Callithrix jacchus: one gene and its partners. The main gene of each other region encodes a partner of the protein of the gene in region 4 in a complex. Links are inferred from orthologs where the notes say so. Each region holds a gene or a part of one and is shown on either strand. Other genes may lie near its edges. The genes, in order: RBM15, RBM15B, CBLL1, METTL3, VIRMA and ZC3H13.

Region 1 (5,169 bases), on a different chromosome or scaffold from region 4:
AACAGATGCATGTTGGAAGGAAAATTGCTGTTCTTCAGTAGAAGCATGCCCTGCCAGGCCAAACAGAGCTTGGGAGAGGCTGCTGCCGCAGGGGCTGTCCCCCCATCCTGCTTCTGGGACGGGGACTTCAGCTTGGAGGAAGCAGTGCTGGTGCTAGGTGCACTCCCATCAGAGCGGTCTTCTTTTTTCAAAGGGCTTTTTCTCTCAGTGGGAGCAGCTGTCCGGTGCTTCCTATCTCGTTCAGCTGATGCAGAGTTTTTACGGTCTCGCTTGTCACCCTGGCTTTTCTCCAAACTACCTCGTCTGTCTCTGACTGGAGAAGGCCTTTCCAAGAGAAGAAGACGGGAAGATCGATCATTGTCGCTGTTGTAACGATCCCGACTACTGCTCAATTCTGGACTGCGATCAGGAGAAGGAGCGCAGTGACGCTTTCGTGGGCGGTCACTTTCAGGAGACCTATCCAGATGTCGTCCTCCACTCTCCTCAGGCAGCCTTCGCTTCCTAGGCTGGTCTCTGCTGCTAGGCAGATCTCGATCACCTCTGTCCCGGTCCAAGGACCAACCATCTCGCCTGCGATCCAGGCTATCCAGTGGCTCATAAGCAGGCACAGAAGTAACTGCAGTCCGAGTGCTGCGTTCCCTGACTGGGGGTGGGGGTGGCACCCAATCAGAGTCAGGATAAAGGTCCCTATCACGATCTCTGTACAGTAAGGGTGGTGTCCTATCCCGAGCACCCCTCAAAGGGTCAGGTGCCCGATGTCCAAAGGCATCTGTCACCAGCTCATAATGAGTCAAGGGCAGAGGCTGCAGATATTGCTGCTGGTAACGATGCTCAGTGTCGGCAAAGTCTACTCTAAGGCGTCGATCTGGGCCACCAAGTGGGAAGCCCCGCATATGGGTCCAAGCAGCATGTGCTGCATCCAGGCTTTCATACTGGATATATGCCCAACTATCACCTTTTCGGTAATCTATGGTGCGTATGGTGCCAAATCGATCAAACTCTCGTGCCAGGGCAGCAAGAGGAACCCAAGGTCCCAGGCCTCCCACCCAGAGGCGGGTGGTGGGTGTAGCTTTACCATAACCAATTTTGATAGGATTCCGAATTATAATTTTGCCAGACATTGCTAATTTGGCCCGGTGAGACATATCTAGGTTCTCAAATTTGAGAAAGCCATAAGTACTAGTCTGGCCGCGAGAAGGCCTCTTGATATCTACTTCCGTGATGACTCCAAAGCGATCAAACGCCCTTCTTAAATCACTCTCGGTGACAGTGATGTCTAGGTTGCCCAAGAAAAGCGTCCGGTTGGCTCGCTGATCATCCTCGGGTGAAATCTCATCCACTTCTCTGAAAGGAGCAGCACCTGCTCCAGCTCCCACCCTTGGCTCAAGACTGTATGCTGGGCGCACTCTCTCGTAGAAGGGGTAGTCTCTCTCTCTCTCCAGCTCTCGAGGCAATGGTGGCGGAGGTGGAGGGGGCAAGCGGCCAAGAGCCAACTGCTGCAGCCGGTAGTCTCTGTATCCCAAAGCTGCGCCACCAGGGGAAAGGGATCTCTGGCCTCCACCCCCTCCAGGAGGGTGCCGGTGACCACCTACAGAGGCCCCGACCACGCTGGCTGATGGAGGGTAAGTATCTTTGTCTAAAGGGGAGCGGCTGCGGCGCCGGCTCACATACACAGCTTCTATCTTCAGAGGCCGGTCATACAGCACCAGGCGGCCTCTGGCATGCTTGGCCGCCCGCGCGTCCTCCGGCCGCCGGAAGTTCACAAAGGCTACCCGCTCATCCCCGCTGCCAGAACCCGACAGATGACTGATTTTGACACTTACATCACCGAAGCGTTTGAACTCATGAAACAGGCCGTCCTCCACCGCTTCGTCACTCAGCTGGGACCCCAACTCGCTTATCTTCAGAGTCTTGTATTCCCCGCCGTCCCCACTGCCGGGAGCTGAGGAGGCGGCCCCAGAGGAACGTGACTCCCCGCCTCCACCCCGGGAGCTGCTGCGCGACTCGCCCCCGCCTGAGGAATTTTTGGTGCTCGGGGAGCTATAACTATGCAAGCGGCTACTGGAGCTGCCCCCACCGGTGTCATACTCGCGGCTGCCACCTCGGCTGCTGGACTTGTCTAGGTGCAGACTCCGCCGCGACCCGCCGCCGCTATCTGTCTTTCCGCTGCTGCTCCCGTTGCTGCCACCAGAGCCACCTAACTTCTTGCTCCGCTCCCCGCGGGAAGTCGAGTCCTCACCACCACGGGAGCGTTTGGCCTTGACTGGCGAGCGCTCTTTCCCCTTCATTGTTGCGGGTCGTCGGAGGTCGTCTCCGCTGAGGTGATTAACCCGCCACCCCGCGCTCGTTTCACACAGCGGAACCGCACGCCGCCATCTTGGACTCCGCCGCGGCCCAGAATCCCGCCCCGCAGTCCTCATTGGCCAATTGGCTCTCTCTTCTACAGTCTCATTGGAAAAATTATTTGTCTATCTTTACATCTCCCCGCGCTCCAGGAAGGCGCCCGCCCAACCACTGTTATTGGGTTTCCAAAGCCCTAGTCAGAGCATCTCATTGGTTATATTTGTTGTCTATCTTAACGGTTCCTCGCGCCAGGCTGTAGCTCCGCCCCTAGCGCTCTACGGTCATGTGACCCAAAGTCTGGAGGTCTTCATTGGACGAAAAGTCTGCCCTGTAACGGTACTTCTTACTCGGTGAAAGCAGCAACCCCACCTCCTCATCCCTTTCATTGGCTTATAAACCCGTCCTTTAAACCACTATTTAGGAGGTCGGGCCATCCGCTTCAGCGTTTTTTCCAGAGGCAGCCTCACAGCGATATCGCGAGAGAGGGTGAGCTCCCTCTTTCGACCCCCTTTTCCCAACTCCTCCGGCGGCTAAAAGAAGTTTAAATCTGATTGGATGTCCGCAAGGAAGTTGATAAGCTGAAATAACTGTCCATCACTTGCTTAAAGGGGTAGGCCCGTATAAAGGAGGAGGCTGACTGAAGGTGAAAGACTAGAACACGTGCTTACTGTGCGACGTCACTTAGATGTCGCGAGAGGGTGGCTGTGAGCCAGCCCCGCCTCCCCGCCTTTTCGGCGTCCTCCCACAAACATTTGTTCAGTTCCGTGAGGTACTTAGCTGTGCTTCGGCCGTTGGAGTTCGAAACGTTCAGGCTCCCCGCCATCCTACCTGCGCCGGCCCAGGAGCGTGGCAGGCTCTCCGGCTGTCGGGGCCCTCCAGTCCCTCAGGAAGCCGTCTTGGGACGCCTAGAGGACACCATCTTAGGTCGCTGTGGCCGCTGCGTGAAAAGCCGGGGGGAGCCCCGCCCCCGCGCGCGGGAGAGTCCCGCCCGCGGTCACCCGGGCCCGCTGAGCTAGGAGTTCAAGGTTCCTGCAGCCCCAGGTCACGCCGCTGCCCCGGGGCGGTGCTGCCACAAGGAACTTCAAGAACTTCAAGCTGCGCGGCGAAGAAGCACTCCTCGCTTGGGGGCCCTGCTTTCCGGGGCGCTCCCCGTCCCCTCCCAAGTACTCTGGGTAGCAGAGGGGAGTGACCGTCGCTCCCCGCCTCTTGGCCCGCAGGCGGAGCCGGAACTGTCGGGACAGCGTGGACGTGTCTCTGGGCGGCCTGTTTTATTTTGCGAATCTGTGTGGATTTTTTAATTCTGTTGTCCCGTAAAATACCTATGTTTGTTTTTAACATCTAATGCTTCTCCCTGGAAAGTCATCAAGCGAAATTTAGGTTCCATGCAGATAATGTAACTTGGTTTCCCCGCTGTAACTTCTGGTATCCCCCACACTCCGCTTATTGTATTAGAAGCCAGCAGCGCAGGCACCTTGCGGCCGCTCCAGATCCACCTCGTTTGGCTCCTCCAACCGTCCGCTTTACAACTCTCTTTTCCGTAGAGCATTACTGTGGCGGACAGAGCACCTGTGGGAGGTGCAGGAGATGCCGAGCTTAGTGGGGTACGGCCTCCGCCCCAGCGCTCGCCGGCTGCTGGAGGGGCGCAGCGCTGAGGTCACCGCAGCCGTTAGACTGTCTGCAGCCCTCCCAGGTATCCGCCAGGGCGGAGGTTATGAGGATTCTTACATTGATCGCGTCCTCAACCTATTTCCCAAGATCTAATCTATGGTAGAGGGTGTGAGGTGTTTTTAAACATGACATTTTTCAAGGTAACAATAATGTCCCAAAAGCCGAAACCTAAACTTGAAAACGGTGTTAAGATTAGGAACTGTGGGCCGGGCGCGGTGGCTCAAGCCTGTAATCCCAGCACTTTGGGAGGCCGAGGCGGGTGGATCACGAGGTCAAGATACCGAGACCATCCTGGTCAACGTGGTGAAACCCCGTCTCTACTAAAAATACAAAAAATTAGCTGGGCATGGTGGCGCGTGCCTGTAATCCCAGCTACTCAGGAGGCTTGAGGCAGGAGAATTGCCTGAACCCAGGAGGCGGAGGTTGCGGTGAGCCGAGATCGCGCCATTGCACACTCCAGCCTGGGTAACAAGAGCGAAACTCCGTCTCAAAAAAAAAAAAAAAAAAAAAAAGGAACTGTAACCTAAATTTAGCGGCCGAGCCATCCTTTTGGTAAGTAATCCTGAGGAATGTGAAGGGGCAGGCCTTTTATCCCTTTATTAGATCAAAGAAATTTGAAGGAAGAAGCTCAATGGTAAAGCAAGAAAGTCTACGATATTGTAATGTATAAACATATTCATTGTATTAAAATAGAAAATAAAACCACAAGCCATAAAATAATGTGTATAACATGCTATCATTTGTGGTTTTAAAAATTACATTTGTGAGTATGTACATTTTAAAAATATCATTGCTTGGAAACTTCCGTGACAAATATATGGGAAAGTGTTACTAGGATCGCCCTGAGGCTGGGTGTGACGGTCTGGAATAGGAAGGAGACTTCACTTTTCTTTGTAGAAATCTTTTGTTTTATACAAAAAGCACGCTATTACTCCTTCAGTTTAAAAAATAATTATTTTTAATTTTCCTTAAATTATTTTTATGGAAAAAGTTTAAAATAAAGAATACTATAAAGAATTCCATATACCCAACACCCTATTTCAACAGTTGTCAAATCATGTCAGTCTTGTTTCATCTGCATCACACTTCCCACTCTTCCTTTCTCTATTGTTTTCTCCCAGACTTACTGATACATTTCCTGCCCCAGTTGTGGAATCA
Region 2 (5,222 bases), on a different chromosome or scaffold from region 4:
CGACATAGGGCATTTGTGTACATGCACTAGGGAAGTCTTTGATTCGTAGCTTGATTAAACCAGGACTCTGAACAGGTTTAAAAATCCATCCTCTGACAAAGGCTTTACTGACAACTTTCCATACAGTTGGTCAAAAAATAAAAAAATACAGAACCACAGCAGACAGTATCTTGTACACTAGAAATCAACAACCGGAGTCCCTTCTCATTGTTTAAAAAAAAAAAAATCCCCCAAACCTAAGAACTTAGTTTTGGTGGCGGAAAGGACTTTGATCCCCACCCAAATGAACCAAAATAACCCAGGAGAGAATTCAAACCAAACTGGTAGGGTAGAGAGGGGTTCAGATTTTAAAATAACTGCTTTTGTGACACAAACATGACGCTGGAAAAAACAGGCTTGGGCTAGGCAGTGTCTCTGACAATGACTATCACCATGTGTTCTTCTTCTAGCTTGCCCAATGTTCTTAGTGCTGACTGGAGGTACTGCTGGGAAAACTCGCAGGGCGGAAAGGCATAGAGCATGCCTGTGCCATCTCTGCCCTTGGACCCCCCCACTGGCAGGCTGATCACCCCTGCAGCCTGCTTCTGTTTCAAGTAGGAGACCAGGTTCCTGAGAAGTCGCCTCTGCAGACCTGGCTCCACTGTGGGCATCCCCTCAGTGCCAAGCCCACTGGGGGTTGCCTGGGTGGCTAAAAGGACTGCATAGCCGTTGGGGCTCCCCTGCTTGATGCGTCGTGTGACCTCGTCGAGCTTGGGCTGGTCCAGTCGAAGGCGCTGGGCGATCTTCAGCTGGGTCAGCTTGCTCCCAGAAGTGTGGTCTTTGAGGAGACTGCTGATCACTCCCTGATCCCCCTCTAGGATGTGCATAGATGTGGGGAAGCAGCTGTTTTTCAACACCAAAAGCCCATTCCAACCCAGCTGTAATGTCTGAGCGTAATCTGAAAGATTCTTCAGCTTTTTGGTCTCATGTTTTGGCTCTTCAAGAGGCTTGGGCTCAGCCTCCGTGGTCCGGTGATTGCGCTCGCTGTCTCTTGCCTTCTTCCCATGGGAAGAGTCTGCAGCCTCGTGGTGGTGGTGATGGTGGCCCCGTTCCTCGGCCCCATGTCTGCTGTTGCTGAGGGAGTTGCTGCTGGACTCCTTGGTCCCTTCACTGGAGTGGTTCTCCTTGCGGCTGCGCTCAGGGGTGCGGTCCGAGCCCCGCTCTGACTGCTGCCCACTGCCCTTGGTCCTGCTCCGTTCCTCATACGGGGAGTGAGTTGTCCTCCCACGGTCACTGGAAAGGCTCCTCCGTTTCCGCCTCTCTTCCCAGGGCTTGGGTAAACCACGGTCCCCATCTCCCCCCCAACGCTCACCACTCCGGCTGCGCACTGAGCGACTGTAGCCCTCAAGGCTATTTCGGCGGTCGGAGCTTTTACTGGGGCTGGTCCAGTCCCCTTCCAAAAAGGTCCGGTCTCGGTCTGAGTACAAGAGGTGTGGGGGCGTCCTGTCCCGCACCAGGTCGGCGTCCAAGTTGCGGTGCCGGGTATATCCATCTGTTAGCAGCTCATAATGCACAGGGAGCGGTGAGGGCTGGTACTGCTGGGGGTACCGTGTCTCCTCTGCTTTGGCAAAATCCACGCGGAGCCTGCGGTCTGGTCCACCCAAGGGAAAGCCCCTCATTTTAGCACAGGCGGCCTGGGCTGCGTCCAAGCTCTCGTACTGGATATAGGCAAAGCTATCTCCTTTGACATGATCAATGGTCCGAATGCTCCCAAAGCGGTCAAACTCCCGGGCCAGAGCCGCCAGTGAGGTGTTAGGTCCCAGGCCGCCCACCCAGAGACGAGTGGTAGGGTTGGCCTTGCCATAACCTATCTTAATGGGGTTGCGACCAATCACTCGGCCTGACATGGCCACCTTAGCCCTATGGGCCATGTCCAGGTTCTGGAACTTGAGAAAGGCATAGGCACCACCCTGGCCACGGGCAGGCCTCTTGATAACCACCTCCTCGATGATGCCGTATTTCTCAAAGGCGCGTCGCAGCTCCACCTCAGATACGCTGTGGTCCAGGTTCCCGATGAAGAGGTTTCTCGTGGCCCGCTGGTCGTCCTCGGGCATCAGGTCCTCCTCGCACACAGCCGGGTAGCCATAGGGGCGCCCACGATCGTCATACAGCCCGTAGTAGTCCAGGGCCCGCTCGCGGGACAGTCCCACGGCGGCGGCGGCAGCATCCAGGGCGAAGGCTGCGGCGGCGTGGCGGGCGCGGGGCTCTCGCAGGGGCGGGGCAGCGACGGGGGACAGCGAGCGCTGCTTGTACTGGTAGCCTCCGTGCAGCGGCAGGTAGCCGAGCGGGTCGGCGGGAGCGGGCGGTCCTGGGGGAGGCGTGGAAGCGGCGGCGCTGCTGCTGCTGCTTCGCCGGCTGCTCCCGCCGCCGCCGCGCAGGTACACGGGCTCTACCTTAAGCGGGCGATCGTAGAGCAGCAGCTGGCGGGCCAGGGCGTGCTGGCGGGCCTCGCGCGCGTCCTGTGGATGCCGAAAGTTCACGTAGGCCACACGGCCCAGCTCAGGCGTGTGCGACAGGCGGAGGCTGATCTCGCCAAAGCGCTTGAACTGGTGGAAGAGCCGGTCCTCGAGGTGCTCGGCGGGCAGCGCTGGGCTCAGGCTGCTGATGAGGAGCGTCTTGTACTCAGGCGCAGCCGCGGAAGAGCCGGGACCCGTGGGCTCGGCCCCAGGCGGCGGCGGCGGCGGCGGCAGCGGAGACGTGCGGGGCGACAAGCCGGAGGCGCCCGGATCCCCCGAGGCCTTGCCGCCGCGTCCCCCGCCGCCAGCGCCGGAGCTCGAGGAGCGGCCACTGCTCGCACGGTGATTAGCGTCCCCGGCGCCGCGGCTGTCGCGATGCCCGCCCCCGCCGCTTCCGCTGCCGCGGGGTTTGTCGCGGGCCCGCGCTGGAACCGGGTGCTTGGCGCCGCCAGAGGCCTTGTGCGCCGCCCGCCGCCCGCCCGCCTCCGCCTCCCGTTCGCGTTCCCGCGGACGCTTGGCCGACGATGACGAGCCGCGCCCGCTCGGGCTAGAGTCTCGCTCGCTCTGCCGCTTCATGGCGCTGGCGCGGCGGGCGGGCGGCCCGTAGGTTTCTCACAGCGGCGGCGGCGGCGGCGGCGGCGGCCGAGGAGGCAGCGCCCCCGGCGCCGCCATCTTGGACAAAAGGACTCGGCGCGGCGGCGGCGGCGGGGCGGGGCGGGAGCGGCGCCGAGGGGCCTGGCATTGCGTTATCAAGCTGCGCCGACCGTGCCACGTGACTCTGTGGCGGGCGGAGCGAGACACGCGTCGGGCTGCGTCATCGTGCTGCATCGCCCAGTGCCACGTGACCCCCGTGAGCGCCGGGTGAGTGGGCCTGGGCCTCGCGCTCTAGCGCCACCGCGCGGCCCACATGGGCGATGCTTGAGGCTACGCGAAGTGAAGGGAACCCTGAGAGGTACGCAGGACGACCTAACGCTTTGTGCTCCCAGGCGTGCTTTGCCGCTCTGGGTTCAGCTATCTCCTCCCGCAGGAGCTGGAGCCCGCGCTGACTGGAACAGGAAGGAGTGGCGGCTTCCGTGGGCTGTCGGGGTCTGGGGCATTGACCCAGTCAGTGGTGTGTATGTAGTACCCCTCAGCCCCAGGACTAGGCTTTAGCAAACTCCCGTATCACCCTCCTTGGCATCTTCTGCCTGGGATCTGGGGTAACTGCCCCAAGGACAAATGCATGCCCATCTCTAGGCCCTGTCTAGGACCCAAGGCCCACATTCTGGGCATCTTCCACATGTAAGTTCACCTGCTGCAGTCCCCAAAAAGGCCATGAGGACCATGGCTGTGCATGTAGGTAATAACCAAAAGCAGTGACAAGCCTGCAGTTGAAGTTGATGGAGTTGGAATAGACTCTTTAACGCCACTCTTTGGTCCCACCCTCTTCTTTGGCATCTGGGCAGAGAGCAGGCTGGAAAAGTAGAACCACAAGAGCCAAGGATGAAGAGGTCAAATGCATAGATAGTAATGACAGTTAACACAGCTTGCCACACTGACCCCTCACTGGCCAGTACCCTCCTGTTCACCTTCAGGAGGACCTCTTCTCTCCATGTGAGGTGAAGGAAAGGGTGCCCGAGCCCACTGAGGGAGCTTTCATTCATGACAGTTGCTAGAGCCATGGTAGAACCTGATCCAATTTCTGGCACAGAATCCTCGCGATGGGGAAGAGCACACTAAGTCTTCCCCTCTTCCCACAGTGAGAAAGCAGCTCAGGCAGGTGCAGGGGGAAAGGTCTTGGAAGAAAGCAACAAGCTCCATGGCAGCCTGTAAGGCCTCCTACAGGCAAGCTGAGCTTAGGAGACACAGTGAAGCGCTCTGAAGCAAGAGCAGTTCCTTGGAAAGCATTGGGTCTTAGTCCTTCCTTTCAGGTGGTGTCTACAGGCATCTTCACTGAGCCAAGGCTCACACCAACACCTGGGGTTCCTAAGCACCAATGCCACAGAGAGCGGCTTCAGAAGCAGACTCCAGAAAAGACCTGGACCTCAACAATTAATTTAGGGTAAACAAAGGCAAAAAGCAGCTTCCCACCCCCTCTTTTTTACCAGTCTTGTAAAAACTGGAACAGACATCAGAAGTTTGGGATGGACACTAGACCATGAGCCTGAAAGAGCAAGTAGGTGGCCAGGCCAACAGCATCTTTAGAGATGTCAGCACTGACATGCAGTGATCGAAGCCATCCTTGCAAGAAACCCCACTTCACAAACCCTGTCTTGCTTGTACTGAGCCCCAATGTAAGGCCCTCTAGGAGGAGTGTATCCCAGACTCACTCCTCCTAGAGTGTGTGGCCTCCAGCTCTCCTCCGTTAAGGTAGGCACTCTATCAAGGGGCAGGTTATCAAGCCCAGCCCTGCCTCAGGCTCCTTTCTGCTGAGGTGCTTGCTGCCCTCTAGTGGCAGACACCCATGCACATCAGCTGGCCTCGGCCCCCATGTCTTGCACCTGGTATTTTCAGCACTGGTGGGTTGAGGGACAAATGGGAATGAATATCCCCCAAAACCCTGCAACTGGAAAGCATAAACTGGTAGGATCCTCATGGAGCAAAACCCTATTTCAGTACTCACTTTAATTCTTCAAGGACAGCTAGAAATTTTTTTTCCTTTAATAAAAAAATCCCAGACACACTTTGAAGTCCTTGAGTATACCAGCAACAGAAGGAAGGGAAGCCCCTCATTAGGGTACTGTAGAG
Region 3 (5,043 bases), on a different chromosome or scaffold from region 4:
GATACTAAACATGAAAGAGACTGAGTCATTAAAAAAAACATGTAAGAAGCTAGTATTAAGCAGAAGGGACATTTGAGTGGGAATTAATTTTTTAAGTGGTTAGCTCATTGGTGAATATTTTCATGTTAGGATGAGTTTTACTTCCTTAGGCAATCTTTTAACTTCAAGAATTAAGATAGCACTCTTTACACCCACCCCATTGTGACTTCCTAACATAATAGCCTCTCAACCATGGCAGGAACTTGACTCACAATACCAGTCATGGGCTCAAATAAGATTTTCCTAAAGTTGAATATTTGCTATTCTAACATGAAAATTCCAGAGTTTCAACTCTATAAAAATTCCCAAACACCGGAATTCTTTACAGCCTGGTTCTAGGCTGGGTTCCCTTCTCAGCACACCCTTCTTACATGGTTCATCTGTCCTCATGCTTTAAAACACCAGCTATAAATAAAGGTACTAACTTCCAAATACGTATTTTCAGTGCAGTTCTTAACCCTTCATCTCCACTTGACATCTCCTCTCCTGTGTTTCAACAGCTGTCTCACACTAAATAGTCCAAGACTAAACACTTATTCCCAAATTTTCCTGTCTCACTTCTACAAAAAAAGGACTGTTTTCTCCCCCGAGTTATCCTCAACTCAATAATGGGGACACTACCTAGCTGCTCAAACCAAAAACGTAGGCATTTCTCCTTTCTCTCACATTCCTCCAAACACTACCCAAGTATTTACTGAAGCTGCCCGTTCTCCTTCATTTCCACCAAACCAACCTTCCCTTCCGGTCTACTGCAATCACCTATCTTCCAACATTCTTACCTCCCTCTCTTACACCATTCTCCACAGAACAGCCTACTACATTGTTTAAAGAGACTGTGTTCTTCCTCTACTTCTGTTCAATGCCTTCATATTCACTTAAAATAAAATTCAACCGTTTACCATGGTTTTCAATGACCTGAATGTGACGGCTGCCCTCCTTTCCAATCTCACTTCAGGACTCAACTCTCTGGCTATTACTAGGCTGCAGCTAACTTCGCTACATCTTCCTACTCAGCACCTATGCACTTGCTGGAAATGCTCTTCCTCCTGCTTTTTTCCCAGGACTGGATTTTCTCATCCATCGGATCTTAGCTTATATGTTACCCTGCCACAAAGACCTTTCCTAACAACCCTCTGAAATTTCTTCCTATGAATCTCTCCAAAACACCCGTTTATTTTCTTCAAAACACTTATGATCTGCAAACAAACAATAAAAAAGAACTTATTGTCTGTGTTCTTCCATAAAATAGAAGGTCTATCAGGGACTTGGTCCGTCTTGTTTACCATTCCATCCTCCATCTCCCGACCTATACATATCTGTATGTATCTGGCATAAACAAACATACACACCTAATTATATAATAGATATATGATGAGTGAGGACAACTCAATACTTACGAAAAATACTTTTTCTCTATTTGTGATATGGTCGCTATAACTCTATGGGGCACTTGTTAATTCCAATAGCATACATTCACCATCCAAGAACCAGAAAGAAGCAAAAGCCAGAAAACACATAACAAAGGGTGGAGCTACTCTTACTTGGAGAAAAGGATGAAAATGTCTTTATTTTAAGCTCCTCTTTGTAAATACCCTCAAATGATGAGTAAGGACCACAGCCGAAGCGCGGGGCATGCTTTTGGTTTAGGCAGAAAAGCTCCACCAAGTTTGATTCCAAAAACTATATCCCACTCCTTTCTTTCACCTCTCTAGTCCATGAAGGACAGGAGAGACGACAGGAGGTTACAACTGCAGCACCCGCCCAAAGCTGACTGAGACAGCAGGAAGTCTCCAACCCACTCTAGCCCGTCCACTCCCAGCGGATTCCGCGACTCCGAGACCGCAGTCTACCCGCGAGTCCCCATAATGCAGGGCAGAGCAGCTGGGCTGAATAAAACAGAGCCGGCGCTCTCCCTTCCCAAAGGCCTACGCCGCCCACCGGTCCGGGCTCGGAGCTCAGCAGAAACAGAGGAGCGGCTGTTGCCGGCACCAAGGAGGTAGGTACCGCACCAGAGGGTAGGCCAGGAAGCAGCAGGCCCCTCCCGGGCACGGGAAGGCAACTGTGAGATTTCTTCTCACTGCCACACTCAAGTGTTGTGGGGCGAGCGTAATCCCTTTTGCCTGTTGGGCGACCAGTCCCAGGCCGGCCAAGGGGGCATGGAACCGGGACCCCCACTGCCTCCGCCTCCTTACCAGTGTGATCCATGATTCGGCTCGCACAGCACAGTGGGAACGGAAGTCAACCGCGCCGGAGTCGCAGCCCGCGCCTGCGCACTGCCTTCCGGAGGCCGGGAGGCGGAAGTCCGAGCGGATTGTCCCAGCTTTGGTCTACAAAGACTTCCTTCTCTCGCCTCCACTACCCAACTCCTGTGAGGGACTCAGGCATAGTTGGTGCGGAGGCAGAAAAAGCGAGCGCGCGAAGTTCGGTGGCGAGGTCGCTAAGGCTTCTCCTCATGTGCTTCAAGGAAAAGTAGCCTTTAACTGTGAAAAGGGCACCAGCGAGGACCAGGGCGAGGGAGAGCAGTGGTAGAAATGAGCCCGCGGCAGCTAAGGCGGCTGCCCGCCCCCGCGGAGAGCTGCCTTTTGGGACTTGTAGTGCGCGGGGGCCGCGAAGCCGGCTGCCGGCTGCGCAGGCTCGGCCGTTGTGCTGGCCCCACCCCGGCGGGCGGAGTAACGGTTTGGAATCCCCCGTGGTCCGGGAGCGCTTGTTGCCTCCACTGAGTGTAGGAAAAGTGTAAACACAGGCGCTCCGGAAGGCGTCCTCCAGTGGGAGATTGCTCAGGGGATGGCTGAGCTGTGAAGCTCGCAGCTAGAAGGAAAGTCGCAACATTTATTGTCTTAAGTTTTGCTTTGTTGTGACGAGCTACCTAGACTCACGCAGAGCCGTCTTGGTATATGCCCCTGTTCCCAACTTGTCTCTTTACAGTTGAAATACATTCATAATGCTTGACTGCCACTCACTTTCTAGGGAGAGCGCTTGTGACGCTACTAACCCCTCGAACACCCGAGGAGTGGGCGCCTGTGCCGGATGGAGGATGGAGAACCTGGGCGGCGCAGCTGCCTCCTCTTAAGGGGACACCTAGCAGGAATGTGCAGAGTGGAGCTAAGGGGAGCGGATGGAAGCCGAGGGAAGGGAAGAGAGCGCCAAGGCTTGGCCAGAAGGAGAGGTTAAAAAGGAAAGGCCTAAAATGAGGAAGAGAGATACCACAATAGGCAGTACCTAGTTCCAGTTCTTGGTCCCAGGGGTTTGTGGTTGCTGCTGCTTTCATCTTCCTCAGCCAAAACAAGGAAAGTGCCAAGGGGCGATTCCTAGGACCTTCAGTGCAGTCTCCACCTCGCGGACTTGGCTTTTTTGTATTTAGTCCTTTCTCCAGCCTTTCACGCTTGATGCTCGTGGATGAATAGAAAGGAGCACAATTAATGGAAAACACAAGCTTGGGGAGTCAAGGGATTTGGGTTCTATTCTTGTCGTCCCTTGGTGACGACATCATCACCTTGGGTTATTCACGCTTTCAGTGCCAGAGTTCCTAGATTAATAAAATATTATATTGACCTCTTAGAGAAATGTTTTCATGGTACTGAATTGCAAATAAAGTATGAGTACCAATGTGTTATATCTTTGTATTTGCACGGTATTAGCTGTGAGTCATACTGTTATGATCAGTGCGATATAAGTGCACCATGCATTTAGTGGTTATTTTCCTGAGATCTTGTAAAAGACTTTTCCACTGCATATAGGCAGCTTTATAAACAAGTTTTTAGGTACATTCACAACGAAGGACCTTTGTGAATCAAAATTATCCCTGCTTTTGTTAAAATGTAAAGTTCTATATTGCTAAGTGGTTTTCAAGATGCTTTCAGTTTCTGAAATTATTTTTTTGGGCATTGGAGTTTGCCTAACCTTTTCCCTATACCTCCCTAATTTCTAAATACAGAGTTGATATAGTCAGGCATTTTTCACCAATTTGGAGTATTTTAAAAAGTTTTCCTCTAGAAAGTACCTTTTTTGCATATATTAAGAAAATTTTTTTTAGAGATGAGGCGGCAGAAACGAGTACAATAGCACAATCATAGTTCACTGCATCCTTGAACTCCTGGACTCAAGGGATCCTTATGCCTCAGCCTCCGGTAGCTGGGACTACAGATGCTCATCACCACCACTGGCTTTGATTTTTTTTTTTGTTCTGTCATACTTTTTCAGCTAAACTTCTGATTCATGCAAATCCATGTTCACAATAATACTGTGTTTGCCGATGCTAATATTTAAATAATTTGAATTAAAAAGCTTTCAAAATGTATTTTATATAATTTTTAAGTCAAGTTTTGTGGGTATTTTATGATGCGTCGTTATGAAAATTTACTGAAAGAAGATTTACTTATTTTAGATCTGATAAAATGTTAAACATTTGTTGGATTTGATTTGACATCTCTTACTTTCATGCATGGCTTTAGCATCTGTGGTCTGTATTCATTTCCCCCTTAATTGTGGTTGCCTTTAATTACCAATGCAGTAGCAGTGTGATAAATTAATCTCTTTACTTACATTTTATTAGTAGTTTCAGCGACCGGTGTGCTGTAACTATTCACAACTTCTTTATGAAGAGTCATCATTAATATTTATTTATATAGCTCGGTACTGACCTAAGGTTTACAAAAGTGAAAACTTACTGTAACGAATAGTCTGAAGCACTGAGGTGCACCTTTTTAGCTACTACCTATGAATTATAAGGTAGTGGGCTCCAAGATGTTTTGATAGACTTCCATTTACATAGTTACTGTATATGTTATGAGAAAGCTAAGAGGGCTATCAGAGAACTTGTTTTCCCCAATACCCTATTACAGACTCCTCAGTACCAAGTAAGGACAAACACACCTGGTCTATTTGGTTTGTAAATTGTTGCTGTTAAATAAATGTTTCTCACTGTTAGACATACATTTTATATCATAGCTCAACACATAAACTCACAACACCTAAGCATATATTTAAGTGTCATGAAACTATACT
Region 4 (5,062 bases):
AGCACTTTGGAAGGCCAACGTGGGTGGATCATGAGATCAGGGGTTCAAGACCAGTCTGGCCAAGACAGTGAAACCCAGTCTCTACTAAAAATACAAAAATTAGCCAGGTGTGGTGGTGGGTGCCTGTAATCCCAGCTATTCAGGAAGCTGAGGCAGAGAGTAGCTTGAACCCAGGAGGCAGAGGCTGCAGTGAGCCAAGATTACATTAGTGCACTCCAGCCTTGGCAACCCAGTGAGAGACTGTCTCAAAAAAAAAAAAAGGTATCTTAGCTATATTATATTAGATAGTTATACAAGCAGGGAGAATACAGACTTATGGTCAAATACATTAAACATGTTTAGCAAGGACCTTGATGAAAGTACCAAGGCTCTAGTAATTAGGTCTGCATACAGCACAAAGTTTGCTTAACACAAAAATGTAGTTAGAATTAGGGAAAAATGCAATGAAACTTAAAATGACCAACAGCAATTAGAATCACCCATTGAAAGAGTATGAATTTAGAAATGGAAAAGTATAAAGTACAATGAAGAACAATTAAAACCAAAAAGCAACAAATACCACCACGGATAGAGGATAGCCTGTCACCAAAATGACAGAAAGATGAACACAAAGTAGTCAATGATATAGTACACTGATATAGTGGCTTTTCAAAAGTTAATTTTATAGGCCAGGCATGATGGCTCACGCCTGTAATCCCAGGACTTTGGGAAGCTGAGGCAAGTGGATTGCTTGAGCTCAGGAGTTAAGAGACCAGCCTGGGCAACATGGTGAAATACCCTCTCTACCAAAAATACAAAAATTAGCTGGGCATGGTAGCACATACCTGTGGTCCCAGCCCCTTGGGAGGCTGAGGTGGGAGGATCACTGGAGCCCGGGAAGTCCAGGCTGCAGTAGGCCATGATCATGCCACAGCACTCCAGCCTGGGTGACAGAGGGAGACCCCGTCTCTAACTAAATACATAACTAAGTTAATTTTGCAGATAACTTTTGCTGAAACAAACAACTACTGAATCCTCAGATCTCCTTTTCCAATTGCCATTGCCAAAGGGGAAAGATTCCATAGGAAAATTAAATAGGCTGGATATGGTGGCTCTCACTTGTAACTCAAACACTTTGGGACGCTGAGGCAAGAGGACAGCTTGAGCCCAGGAGTTCAAGACAAGCTTGGGCAACATAGTGAGACCTCATCTCTATTAAAAATTTAAAAATTAGCCAGGCATGGTGGCATGCACCTATAGTCCTAGCTACTTAGGATGAGGCAGGAAGACTGCTTGAGCCCAGAAGTCAAAGGCTGCAGTGAGGGGCTCCTACCATCACACTCCAGCCTGGGCAACCGTGAGAAACCTTGTCTCAAAAACAAAAAAAGTCACTGGCATAATTTATGCACATTTTTAAAAAGTTTAGAAACGGGAAACCAAAGAATAGGGAAAAAACAAAACAAAACAAAAAATTGTATCTATAAAGAAATCAGGCCAGGCACAGTGGCTCACGCCTGTAATCCCAGCACTTTGGGCGGATCACCTGAAGTCAAGAGTTCAAGTCCAGCCTGACCAACATGGAGTAACCCCATCTCTACTAAAAATATAAAATTAGCCAGGTGTCGTGGTAGTAGTATGCTAGCTACTCAGGAGGCTAAGGCAGGAAAATTGCTAGAACCCGGGAGACAGACTGCAGTGAGCTGAAATCATGCCACTGAACTCCAGCCTGGGCAACAAAAGCAAAACTCCATGGCAAAAACAAAATAGAACAAATCAGTGAAGTTTATAAAGCAAGAAGAAAAAATTACCCCTCTTAGGGTAATTCAAGAACTACGCCAAAGCTTGACTACTAATTATTGGCTGATGATATGACTTGCACTGTCTACTCTACTACCCTTCCCTCTTACCTCTGTAATTATCTAGGTCAGCCGGGCACGGTGGCTCAAGCCTGTAATCCCAGCACTTGGGGAGGCTGAGGCGGGTGGATCACGAGGTCAACAGATCGAGACCATCCTGGTCAACACGGTGAAACCCCGTCTCTACTAAAAACACAAAAAATTAGCTGGGCATGGTGGCGCGTGCCTGTAATCCCGGCTACTCGGGAGGCTGAGGCAGGAGAATTGCCTGAACCCAGGAGGCGGAGGTTGCGGTGAGCCGAGATCGGGTCATTGCACTCCAGCCTGGGTAACAAGAGCGAAACTCCGTCTCAAAAAAAAAAATTATCTATGTCCGACATATCCATAAAGGCCAAATTCAAATGCCAGCTCCACTATGATGGCTTTGATGGTTTCACTACCTACACCAGAGCTCAGTTACTTCTCTTTCACTGTGAAGACTGTAGATTCATTCAATTTCATACATATATATATATATATATATATACATAGACACACATATAACATATATCCTATCATATTCCTGACTTTTTAAAGCATCTACCCTTGAAACCTATGCCTTTTAAACTAAAGGACAGGGGCAATTTCTTACTTATTTTTGTCTAATTAGACCCATGTATACTGTAGGTACTCAAGAAAGGATACTTAATTATGGGAGGATCCCGGCAGCGCACTTTCTAGTTCTAGGGGTCAGAATATGAGCACATGAACCTAACATAATTGAGACAAGATTGAGAGATGGAGTTCAAGATACTGGAACAATCTGCCACAAAGGTGATATTGAGTCACTATTTTTGCAGAGCTTTGTTACTAGTTTGCCTTAAATAATTCAGAGTTTGTCGTGGGGGTAGGGAGTGGATAAGAGTTAACTTAACCAGCTTTTAAATTTCCTTCAAAGTTTTATGATCGTGACATGGGGCAAAAGGAGGGGAGAAAAAGTTTAGAAACCAAACACAAATGTTTTCAGATTTTTGCTAGGTATGTAAATGGCTAAGTCAATGTCGGTAGGGGTACTCATTCAGAAACACGGAGTGCCACTTTGTACAGGCCACTAAACTGGTCACTGTGGATATGAAGGTTCATTCTTTGCTCACTGTGCCCACAGCTGCAAAGAAATGACCACTACAAAGCAGTCGTTATTAATTGAGGGAACAAAGCGCCATAGCGGCAACAAAAAAGGGGTCTTGCTGTTTCGCAAGATAGGGGGCTGGGAGGCCTCAAAGAGGCAACGTCCTCGCAGTCTGAAGAGGGAGTGGGCAAGGCGGACGAGGGTGGGGCTCAAGCGTCGGTCCGGTAAAAGTGAGCTGGAAGAACCGAGGCCCAGGGTGAGGAGGAACCGCGAACTACTTGCAGAAGGGCGAGGGTCTGTGCTGCTGAATGGTAGAGGGAGTAACCCCATGTACGCGGCTTTATAGAAATAGCCGCTTGGTAAAGGACATTGACTCTGGAGCTTTTTCTCTAGGGATCCCTCCCATACTCCCCGGTTGAGCTTCGACCCCAACAGCCCCGTGCCTCACCCAAGTGCCCCGAGTCCTGCTTCCGCCTCCGCTGCAGCCTTTCCCGCAGAGAGTCCAGCTGCTTCTTGTGGGCCTGGATAGAGCTCCACGTGTCCGACATCCTAGTCTCCCAGCCCTGACGCCTCTCGAATAAGGCGCGCCGGACTAGCACCTCCCAGCACTCGCTCCAGGATATAACCAATTCTCACGCGGGCACCCAAAGGCTAACCGGAAAATGACCCCTAGAGATGAGCAAGACCGAAAAGTAATTTCCGGTGTCGCGCTTTCTTGGAAGCTATAAAGAGAGCCACGTTAGGTGTTGGCAGAGCGGCCGGTATAGTCCTTATACCCGCTCTCTCATGCTTCCGGGCACAGTGAGGCTGTGGTTGCCATGTTGGTGACTGGCAGAGCGGCCATATTGCTTACAGATGCGCATGCGGCCATGTTGAATATTCGGAGAGGACTTCTGAGAGTTGACCCATGTTAAAATAGCACTCGTAGAGAGCATCACCATGTAGTACGGATTTTTTTTTTTTTTTTTTTTTTTTTTTTTTTTTTTTGAGACGGAGTTTTGCTCTTGTTGCCCAGACTGAAGTGCAATGGCGCGATCTCGGCTCTCCGCAACCTCCGCCTCCCGGATTCAAGCGATTCTTCTGTCTCAGCCTCCCGAGTAGTTGGGATTACAGGCATATACCACCACGCCCGGCTAATTTTTTTGTATTTTTAGTAGAGCCGGGGTTTCTCCGTGTTGGTCAGGCTGGTCTCGAACTCCGACCTTAGGTGATCCGCCCGCCTCGGCCTCCCAAAGTGCTGGGATTACGGGCGTGAGCTATAAGCGCTCTGACGTACAGAAGTTTAAGATGAAGGATCACTTGTTCCTTTTGACAGTTGGATGCTAACATACCTTTTCCACTGAAGACGTGGTTTGTGTCTATTGCTTCATTTACAAAAAAACAACGGTGGTCCCCAATCTGAGGTGGGAGGCCGTAGAGGGTGTGCGCATTTTTCTTTGTGTGCGGGAGAGGCGTGGGGAAGTGAGGAGGGCTGAAGGAAAAATACGAGAGTTCAAATACGTGATCTCTCTCTTAGGCTGAATTTACAAAGTACGTATAATCGATTAAAATAGAGTTCCGGGCCGGGCGCGGTGGCTCACGCCTATAATCCCAGCACTTTGGGAGGCCGAGGCGGGTGGATCACGAGGTCAAGAGATCGAGACCATCCTGGTCAACAAGGTGAAACCCTGTCTCTACTAAAAATACAAAAATTAGTTGGGCACGGTGTTGTGCGCCTGTAGTCCCAGCTACTCGGGAGGATGAGGCAGGAGAATTGCTTGAACCCAGAAGGCGGAGGTTGCGGTGAGCCGAGATCGTGCCATTGCACTCCAGCCTGGGTAACAACAGCGAAACTCCGTCTCAAAATAAATAAACAAATAAAATAGAGTTCCGACACTAAGAGGGCTTTGAGGTCCTGGTTGCGTTGTGTTTTTTGTTACGAGAGCTACTTGCATGAGTGTGTTCAGTTTGTGAAATGTAATTGAGCTGAACATTTTGGTATGTGCACTTTATGTGTAGTAAACTTAAATACAAGGGTTGTTTTTTTTTTCCTACAATCCTTTTTTTTTTTTTTCTTTTTTGACACAGAGTTTCATTCGTGTAGCCCAGGCGGGCGTGCAGTGGTGTGATTTCAGCTGAC
Region 5 (4,559 bases), on a different chromosome or scaffold from region 4:
GATTCCATCTCAAAAAAAAAAAAAGCAAGAAAAGCCCCCTGCAATTTAAAATACCAGAAAGTGGATGGATAAGGGAAATAAACATTTAACCACAGTCTTCCAATCAAATATTTCCCTCTACTTGACATATATACTTCTAAATTCAATGCTAAGTTTAGCTAATGATAATTCTAAAAACTCCCACTATTCTTTATAGAAGTAAACTGAATTTTACAACAAGAGCATATTTGATTATATTTTATCACCTTTAATTACTATAAAACAAGGCTCAAATCAGAAGGACAACATAGCAAAGTGAGGCCATCAGTGAGATTTACATGAACAAGGCAGCTAGGATGTTATAGTGCTATTCAATGTAGTCATGCAACCCAAAGTGAATTATATAAGAAATACCAATCAAATGGACACTTTGAGGTACAAGGACTTAAAATATCCTTTCTACCAAGTTCCCTTTTTTGTGAAAATAAGTCATACCAGAAAAATGTTCTTTCTTGACCTGAGTCTTAAATGTAACCAAACTGAGTATTTGTTAAGATACAAAAAAGTCTTCCAACATGGGACTTATTCTGTCTGAAAAAAAATCTCATTTGATGACCACTCTGCAAGAGCATGCTGACAAGCTAAAATGACAAGCCTAATTAGGCACAGAAATCTCCAAACATCTCAATCATAATGGGCTTTAAAAGTTAAAACAACTCTCATCAACCCATGAAACCATAAACTGGAAGTCAATAACATAGACAACAGGAAAAAATACTACTACTGTTAGCCAACATCTACAAGCAAAGTAGTCTGAAACACACTAAAAGTGTAGTAGTCTTCAAAAGTTTCCCTAACAGCGAACATATTAATTCAACCAATCACAAAGCTACAAAATTTAAGAATGACTTGTTGTGACCAGTCGTGGTGGCTCACACCTATAATCTCAGCACTTTGGGAGGCCAAGGCAGGTGATCACCTGAGGTCAGGAGTTCGAGACCAGCCTGACCGACATGGTGAAACATCATCTCAACTAAAAAATACAAAAATTTACCAGGCATGGTGTTGTGTGCCTGTAATCTCAGCTACTTGGGAAGCTGAGGCAGGAGAATCACTTGAACCCAGCGGATGGCGGTTGCAGTGGGCTGAGATCCCACCATTGCACTCCAGCCTGGGTGACAGAACGAGACTCCATCTCAAAAAAAAAGAAAAGAATGACTTGGAATATAATGTAATTACAAGGAAAATTAATTAGACCCTAAAAAATACAGAAACAGTGGCACATAAAACAATTACCCAAGGTTTTGAAGGAAAAAAATAAAGCTCTTCAGAGAAACCCATGAATAGCAGGAATAATAAAATACAGATGAAAGCCAAGACTTACATTAAGATACTTAAATACAAAAAAAAAAAGATACTTAAATGCACACACACAGAGAGACAGACAGAGAGAGAGAGAGAGAGAGAGAGAGAGAGATACTATAAAATAAGTATAAATACCTGATCACAGAGAGACTGCAAAATGGATGTGATATATTCAACACACTGTTGGCGAATAACACTGTCTCCAGGAGACCGCACCAAAGCTAAAAGATCCTGGAATATCTCTGCATATCTTTCATCACCTTTAATAGTTCCATTAATTAGATGCAAAATAGCTAATTTACAAGCTTTGTGTGAAGCCAGAGCATCAAGAAGAGCAAGCAACCTGGTGGTTTGGCTAGTATACTGTTTTTCTTTATCTTCTGAAGTGCTGAAATAAAATCAATACATTTAGTAAACAATGTTTTTGATCTTAAGGCATTGTTTAACTACTATTTATTTCTCAATACACATCAACTTACACAAATTTTGCATAAAACATTTAATTCCTTGGATATAATGACAACTTCTCTGGAATTTTACAATTACTGCAAAAATTTTATAAATTCAGGTTTCCAAAAATATATTTTCTTAAATCAGAGTACTTCTTTAGAATTCACCATTTAAAAACCCAAAAAACAAGATTGTCAAGATAGCTTGCACATGAAATGATGAAATAAAGCTTTCTAATTTAAAAAGTCTATAAGTATTCATATATAAATATGTGTGTATATGTAGGTATATGTGTATATTTACATGTATATATGTTAGCTGGGCATTCCAAACCCTAGTTTCCAAATTATAAGGGAAAAAATATATGTGTCAAAAATAACTTGAGGAAAAAATTTTTAATGCAAAATGAAAATACCTTTGCAAGTCTTCTACAATCAAATCCAACACAGTTCTCATAATCAGAAGTGCAGTTGGTGAGGCAAGGTCACACAATTGAACACAAATACGCCGTAACATATGTTGAATGGGCTGGCAGGTTGTGCCAGAGAAAGAGCGAACTATTTCTTGGAGCAACTTTGCTTGAACATGAAGGTGCATGCTCCACAATTTTCGGGTGTTGAGTGCCACTGATATATCATGTGGCTCAATAACCTGTTAAAAAAGTATAATGTTGTGTACGTAGATTTTTTAAATATTTATTTATAGTCACAAAAACTGTTCAGGAAGAACTGTTATGAAAAGAACATTTTTACTGCATGCTTAAAACATTCAATTTTCTATTATACAGTTAAACATTTGCTTGAATTCAATGAGTCTAAAAAATCTTATTGTTCTCAGGTGAGCAGTTAGTTGAGTAGAGTCCATTGGTGAAGCAACCCAGTTATTGGCAAATTCTAACACATAAGGGGGGGAAAGGATTTAAAATAACAGAAATATGTAAGTACAAACATACATAACAGCATAATAAAACTCACTTTAACAAAAATTCACTTAAAATGTTACCCCCGTATTTCCTCAACGACCAACTTGCTTCAGTTTTATCTCCCCCTCATCCAGTTATTTTATGTCTTTTTGGGAGGAAGGGAGATGAGGGTTTTTGTTTTTTAACACAATCACTGGCTTTTAAAAAAAGTGTTACGCAGTCATTTATAAGATGCATGTTATATTGAAGTGATACCTGAGTTGTTTGCATGGGCAATGGAAGAGGCAGCAGCTCTGAAAGGAGTATGAGTCCAGAAAAAAATCCTTCAGGAACCTTCAAGATTGAAGAAAGAACTTCTTTTAACATTAAAGACCAAGTATTATTGGCCAGAGTCTCTTCTGAGATTGTGAGTTTTTCATTAACTCCTTGTGTAAAAGTCAGTAAAATATCAATGATATCATTCTGAATTTTCTGTTCATCACTATCCAAACGACCTGAGAGGGGGATAGAGCACAGGAGCATATGTAAAGTAACAAGCGCTGAAGGAACACGCATGTCCTTAAACTCAAAGGATCCACCTCTCAGGAGTTCCGTTAACATAGTTTTAAGAAGTGTGAGGGTGCAGCGAGCCATTGAAATAGTAGTAACTCTGTGAAGGGTAGTCCCCATGTTGACATGGAGCCTCCAAGGCTGAGTCAGAATACTGTTCAATTTTTGCAGAACTCGAATAAATGTGTCCATTCCTTCAGCAGAAAAAAGCTGAATTACGGCAAGATTCCATTTCAGGTCTTTCTGTTGACCTTTATATAGGATAAGGAAAAGAAACAAAACTAATTATTTATATGTTAAGATTAAGAATTATTAATTATTAAACTGAATATTTAATAAATGATATTTAATTATTTATGGTTTTTATATTTATAATAAATTTTTATAAATATTTATGACAAATGTTTATATTTAATTACACTTAAATATTATAAATAACATTTAATAATTATTAAACTAAATATTTAATAAATGATATTTATTCTAGCCTTAAGAATAGTATTTTTTTAAAAATATAGTAGTCACATTACCTTCAACAGGAGGTGGTGGGCATGCAATATTACAGAGAACACGTAAGGCAGTGGTAAGGCCAACTCCTTCTGGGGTCATCAAGTTATCAATATTCTTTAAAAATAAAAATGAACAAAATGTTTCATTTCTTAGTACCCATCAGATCAACAAAAAATTCCAGACAAGGAATTAGTTAAAAATATGAGCTCCAAGTTAAGAACATATAATATTTTATATTTATTAAGTAAATTTAAAACATGATTAAGGCCCTAGAGCTAAATGAATTTATCAAGATTATTTATCTCTGGCATATGTTGTACTATATGCAATATTATGTAAATAAAAAGAATTGAAATGTACAACCTCATTGAAAAGAACCAACTAGAACAAAGATAAAGAAATGTTAAGAGTTTAAAATGGTTATTTTCTATCCACTCTTTTCATACATCTTCTCTGCCAAAAACGAAGCAATTACTATATTCTTAAAATCCTGTGGGGGCTGGGTGCAGTGGCTCAGAACTGTTATGTCAGCACTCTGGGAGGTTGAGGTGGGAGGATCACTTGAGCCCAGGAGTTTGAGACCAGCCTGGGCAACATAGTGAGACCCTACCTCTACAAAATATTTAAAACTCAGCCAGGCATCATGGTGCATGCCTATAGTTCCAGCCACTCAGGAGGCTGAAGTGGAAGGATCACTTCAGCTTGGGAGTGATCATATTTAGAGTAAACTATGATCATGTCATTGTACTCCAGCCTGGGCGACATAGTGAAACCCTGTTTGGAA
Region 6 (4,559 bases), on a different chromosome or scaffold from region 4:
CAGACGTATGACTACGATTACTCCGATTGCTCCCGAGGCTGCTGCTCCGCTTTTGATCCACAGGCTTGCGATGCGATGCATCTTCTATAGTCACGTGAGGTGCCTCTACTTTTTCCACTCGTGTTCTGTGGCATTTTCTGTGTGAGTCTTCATTGGCAAAAGTATTATTGGTGGTATTGGGGGGGATGGCAGAGGTGGAAATGGTGATGGCAGAGGTACTGAAGGAGGTGGCGGCAGCAGCAGTCGTGGCAAGAGTTGCAGGCGCAGTTGCAGTAGTGGCGGTAGCCACAGGTGGTGGAGGAGGAAGAAGAGAAGACAGAGGAGAAGGGGTACTACCAGGAGTAGCTGCGGTGGCAGCATGCTCTTCTGTCACCTCTGTACGGTCAGGCACATCCTCATCAGACCAGTCACTGAATGCTGTATCTTCTTTTTTCTGAGGGTCCTCTAGAATACCATTCTTACCGTTGCAAATTTCAACCAATTCCTCTTTAGTTGTTATAGGGGGAGTCCGTGGGCCTCTTTTCTTTTTACTTTGCTGGGCTGCTTCTTCATCAGAAATATCAGAATCACCTTTGGATTTTTTACGTTTTTTTTCAATGCTTTTCTTTTTCTGTCCTTTTTTGGGTGAAAATACGTGACCCTCTTCAGATGTTGTCTCTATGTTACCCCTCTCTATTCCAATATCATCCTCTTTCTTTTTCTTAATCGGTTTCTTTTGAATTTTTGCTTTCTTCTTGTTTTCATCATGAGCTCGATCAGATGTCTCTCGATCTTCAGACTGGTGATGTCCTATAATGTCCTGTGCACGCATTCTTGAGTTTTCCAGGATTTCTGCCTGTTCTCTCTGTTTATCTATGGAAGAAACTTTTTCCTTGACTTCCTGTTCTTCATAGCGCCTTGAACTCTCTTTCCTTTCTGGTTTACGATCCTCCTCTTTCCATCTACCCTGTCTGTCTTCTGTGAGGTGCGAGGGACTAAGAGAACGAGATTCTTGAGGCCGTACAACTTGACTCAAGAGTCTATGTTTGTCATCTATATAAAAGATAAAAGCGATCACACTCTCGCCAGGTTAATAAACACCGCATGGCACATATAAATAATAAGGCAGTCTCTCCTCACGCCTGTCATCCCAGCACTTTGGGAGGCCGAGGTGGGTGGATCATGAGATCAAGAGATTGAGATCATTTTAAAACTTTTAGAATGACAATAATTTTGGTAAAAATAAAAATATGGCTTTACTATAAATAAAATTACAGTACTCTAACACATACTTTAGTCACAAAAGGAGACATTTAGAGGCAGCAAAGCCAGACAACCTTTTAAAAGTCTCAATTCATCAGTTCCTAGGAGTTTGAAAGGGTGGTTTCCTGGTCCCAAATGAACGTGAATAGAGAAAAACAGGAAACAGGATCTGCTTACTTTTATCATCTCCGCTGTTGTAGGCATCGCTGTCCGGAGAGTGTTCACGGCGGCGTTTTGGGGACTGTCTAGGGCTGGGACTCCCTTCATTTCTATAGCGCTTCCTGAATGGGCAAGCAAACACAATTTATAAAACTCTAGAGGCCAAAAACAGATTTCTCTATTTTTACTAGTATCTCTTTACTATAACTGGAATACATAACTGTAGAAAAGCAATATTGTCAGAGGTGTAGCATACAAAGGCTTCTCAATGTCTTTAATAAAAGTTATTTACTTCATTTGCTAAGAATTGTGAACTTAAAATACACAACAACAACATTTCTTCTTTCTTCATTATATATGTAGAACCACTCAAGTGAAAACTGCCAGATTTAAATACTGCAAGGGGGTAACATGTAGCACAGAAATCAATATATCAATGTACCCTGTAATGTAAACATTCGCAATTTTGCATTCTTAGGCTATAAAAATGCCTTATGCTGCAGGGCTGAATGAGGAAATCTAACATTGGCTGTAAGGTAAAAAGACGTGAGTTCAACTTCTAACTACATTAGTTATCACGCAGCCTTAAGTAAGTTCCTTGAAGTCGCTGAACCTCAGTTTCTCATCTGAAAATGGGTGAGAAATGGGGTCCATCTCATAAAACTGCAGTGAGGAACAAATTAGTTATGTCATAAACCCAGTGCCAGATAGGTTGTGGATACACCGTAAAATCAGTTCCTTTCCCCTTCTTAGAAATCACTTACTTATTAACAAATTCATAAAATAATTCATGCTGATTATATTTGTTGTTCCTTAGTTGAGCTTTAAATGAGCTGTTTTTCATTAAAATCTGACCACCTGTTTTTTAAATTAACATTGTTTATTTACAAATACTATGGTCAAAAGTTAAAAAACATATTGTATACACAGACCAATGAAACAGAAATAAAGCCAAATGATCTTCAACAAAGCATACAAAACATAACTGGGAGAAGGACACCCTATTTACTAAATGGTGGTGAGAAAGCTGGCAAGTCACATGTAAAATAATGAAAATGGATCCCTGTCTCTCACCTCAAACAAAAATCAACTCAAGATGGATCAAAGACTTATATCTAAGACCCGAAACCATTAAAATTCTAGAAGTTAACACTGGGAAATTCTTTTGGACACTAGTCTAGGCAAAGACTTCATGACCAAGACTCTAAAAGCAAATGCAACAAAACCAAAAATAAATAAATGGAACCTAATTAAACTAAAAAACTTCCGCACAGCAAAATAAATAAAGACAACCCATAGAAAGGGAGAAAATACTTGGAAACTATACATCCAACGAAGGACTAGTATTCAGAATCTATAAGAAACTCAAACAAATCAGCAGGAAAAACATAAATAATCCCATAAAAAAGTGGACAAAGGACGTGAGTAGACCTTTCTCAAAAGAAGACAAACAAACAGCCAACAAACATATGAAAAAATGCTCAAAACTACTAGTCATCAGGGAAATTCAAATTAAAACCATAATGAGATGTCACCTTACTCCTACAAAAATGGCCATACAAAGTCAAAACACAGTAGATGCTAGCGTAGACATGGTGAAAGGGAATGCTTATACACTGCTGGGGGGAATATAAATTAGTACAACCTCTATGAAAAGCAGTATGGAGAGGCCTTAAAGAACTAAAAGGAGAGGTTGGATCCAGCAGTCCCACTACTGGTTATCTACCCAAAGGAAAAGAAGTCATTATACGAAAAAGAGTCATTATGACTTTATAAAGAAGTTGTTATATGCAAAATTCACACTGCAAAGACATAGAACCAACCTAAGTGCCCACTGGCCAAAGAGTGGATAAAGAAAATGTAGTATATATACACCATGGAACCATAGAATACTACTCAGCCAACAAAAGGAACAAAAGAATGTCTTTTGCAGCAACTTGTCCTCACTTGTGAGAGCTAAGCTACGAGTAAGCAAAGGCGTACAGAGAGATACAACGGGCTCTGGAGACTCGGAAGTGGCAGGGTGGGAGCTGAGTGAGGGATAAGAAACCACATGTTGGGTACAAAGGCGTACAGAAAGATACAACGGGCTCTGGAGACTCGGAAGTGGCAGGGTGGGAGCTGAGTGAGGGATAAGAAACCACAAGTTGGGTATAATGTACACGAAAATCTCAGAATTCACCCAGGTAACCGAAAACTTCTCGTACCCCAAAAGCTATTGAAATAAAAAGAAAGTAAAAACATACTACAGTACATGTATATCCTAGACAGCTCCTTTATATAGATGAGTAACCATGTGGAGACAGCCCCAGGTATAATATGACAACTCACAGGCCCAAGCTTGTGTACTGCTTTATCCAAAGCCCCTCTCCCATCAATAGCCGGACTATTTCCCCATTTTTCCTATCGAAGTGGCCTAATGACTTGCTACGACAAGAAAATGTGGTGAAAGTGCCACTGTGCAAATGTGAAGAGGGTTCAGGAGGCCTTGCCGCTTCAGCTTCTGTCCTCTTGTTATGTTTCTACCATTACATGCAAAGCCAAGTTTAGACCACTGAAGGCCAGGAGGTCAAGCGGAGCAGAAACAAGATGCCCTAACTGGCAGACACACAGGTGAGACAATCCTGGGCCTCCAGGCCCAGCTGCACTGTCAGATGGAATGTTGATACACGAGATACTCCAATTGAGACCAGCAGAAAAACCACTCCGTTGAGCCCAGGCAAAATCACTAATCCACAGAACCATAAGCAAATAAATGGTTGTTTTAAGTTACTAATTTATGTGGTGGTATGTTATACAGCAAGAGATAACTGATACACTAGAATAAAGGGAAAATTTAAAACATAAAAAAAATAAAACTTCTTTCAAGGAAATAAAATAAACACAATTAGAGTACAATAAAGATGGCTATTCAGTAAACCTACATAACAGCAGTTAAAAAAAAGTGCTGGAGAAACTGAACTACTGAGATGACAATACAGTTAATGAAAGATTAAAATATTAATCTCACATAACTAGTTTCTGTTACAGAGTTATTCAACTCCTAAATTTGTGGGGTCATTGCCAACTCTTAAGATTGTCTAACCATGGAAAATCAGAAAACCTTTTGCTATTATAAGCAGAGATCAGAAGCATGAAAAAAATACAGGTTGAGTACC

Evidence for each region.
Region 1: METTL3 (region 4) and RBM15 share a complex: the UniProt entries of both Homo sapiens proteins name them as parts of the WMM complex. The link is inferred for Callithrix jacchus from reciprocal best matches to the Homo sapiens genes METTL3 and RBM15.
Region 2: METTL3 (region 4) and RBM15B share a complex: the UniProt entries of both Homo sapiens proteins name them as parts of the WMM complex. The link is inferred for Callithrix jacchus from reciprocal best matches to the Homo sapiens genes METTL3 and RBM15B.
Region 3: METTL3 (region 4) and CBLL1 share a complex: the UniProt entries of both Homo sapiens proteins name them as parts of the WMM complex. The link is inferred for Callithrix jacchus from reciprocal best matches to the Homo sapiens genes METTL3 and CBLL1.
Region 5: METTL3 (region 4) and VIRMA share a complex: the UniProt entries of both Homo sapiens proteins name them as parts of the WMM complex. The link is inferred for Callithrix jacchus from reciprocal best matches to the Homo sapiens genes METTL3 and VIRMA.
Region 6: METTL3 (region 4) and ZC3H13 share a complex: the UniProt entries of both Homo sapiens proteins name them as parts of the WMM complex. The link is inferred for Callithrix jacchus from reciprocal best matches to the Homo sapiens genes METTL3 and ZC3H13.

Annotation. Positions count from the first base shown.
Region 1 is NC_133508.1:148,190,119-148,195,287, reverse strand, and holds the start of RBM15 (RNA-binding protein 15), read right to left. Parts: upstream 3,514-5,169; 5' UTR 2,421-3,513; coding exon 1-2,420. UniProt on the Homo sapiens protein: RNA-binding protein that acts as a key regulator of N6-methyladenosine (m6A) methylation of RNAs, thereby regulating different processes, such as hematopoietic cell homeostasis, alternative splicing of mRNAs and X chromosome inactivation mediated by Xist RNA.
Region 2 is NC_133516.1:33,966,693-33,971,914, reverse strand, and holds RBM15B (putative RNA-binding protein 15B), read right to left. Parts: upstream 3,175-5,222; 5' UTR 3,072-3,174; coding exon 402-3,071; 3' UTR 77-401; downstream 1-76. UniProt on the Homo sapiens protein: RNA-binding protein that acts as a key regulator of N6-methyladenosine (m6A) methylation of RNAs, thereby regulating different processes, such as alternative splicing of mRNAs and X chromosome inactivation mediated by Xist RNA.
Region 3 is NC_133512.1:78,201,487-78,206,529, reverse strand, and holds the start of CBLL1 (E3 ubiquitin-protein ligase Hakai), read right to left. Parts: upstream 3,484-5,043; 5' UTR 3,308-3,483; coding exon 3,259-3,307; intron 2,607-3,258; exon of another isoform or gene 2,245-2,606; coding exon of another isoform or gene 2,232-2,244; intron 1-2,231. UniProt on the Homo sapiens protein: E3 ubiquitin-protein ligase that mediates ubiquitination of several tyrosine-phosphorylated Src substrates, including CDH1, CTTN and DOK1. Targets CDH1 for endocytosis and degradation.
Region 4 is NC_133509.1:56,009,810-56,014,871, forward strand, and holds the start of METTL3 (N(6)-adenosine-methyltransferase catalytic subunit METTL3), read right to left. Parts: upstream 3,601-5,062; 5' UTR 3,492-3,600; coding exon 3,392-3,491; intron 1-3,391. UniProt on the Homo sapiens protein: The METTL3-METTL14 heterodimer forms a N6-methyltransferase complex that methylates adenosine residues at the N(6) position of some RNAs and regulates various processes such as the circadian clock, differentiation of embryonic and hematopoietic stem cells, cortical neurogenesis, response to DNA damage, differentiation of T-cells and primary miRNA processing.
Region 5 is NC_133517.1:32,689,378-32,693,936, reverse strand, and holds part of VIRMA (protein virilizer homolog), read right to left. Parts: intron 3,890-4,559; coding exon 3,796-3,889; intron 3,517-3,795; coding exon 2,972-3,516; intron 2,446-2,971; coding exon 2,210-2,445; intron 1,733-2,209; coding exon 1,480-1,732; intron 1-1,479. UniProt on the Homo sapiens protein: Associated component of the WMM complex, a complex that mediates N6-methyladenosine (m6A) methylation of RNAs, a modification that plays a role in the efficiency of mRNA splicing and RNA processing.
Region 6 is NC_133506.1:165,173,698-165,178,256, forward strand, and holds part of ZC3H13 (zinc finger CCCH domain-containing protein 13), read right to left. Parts: intron 1,524-4,559; coding exon 1,420-1,523; intron 1,033-1,419; coding exon 1-1,032. UniProt on the Homo sapiens protein: Associated component of the WMM complex, a complex that mediates N6-methyladenosine (m6A) methylation of RNAs, a modification that plays a role in the efficiency of mRNA splicing and RNA processing.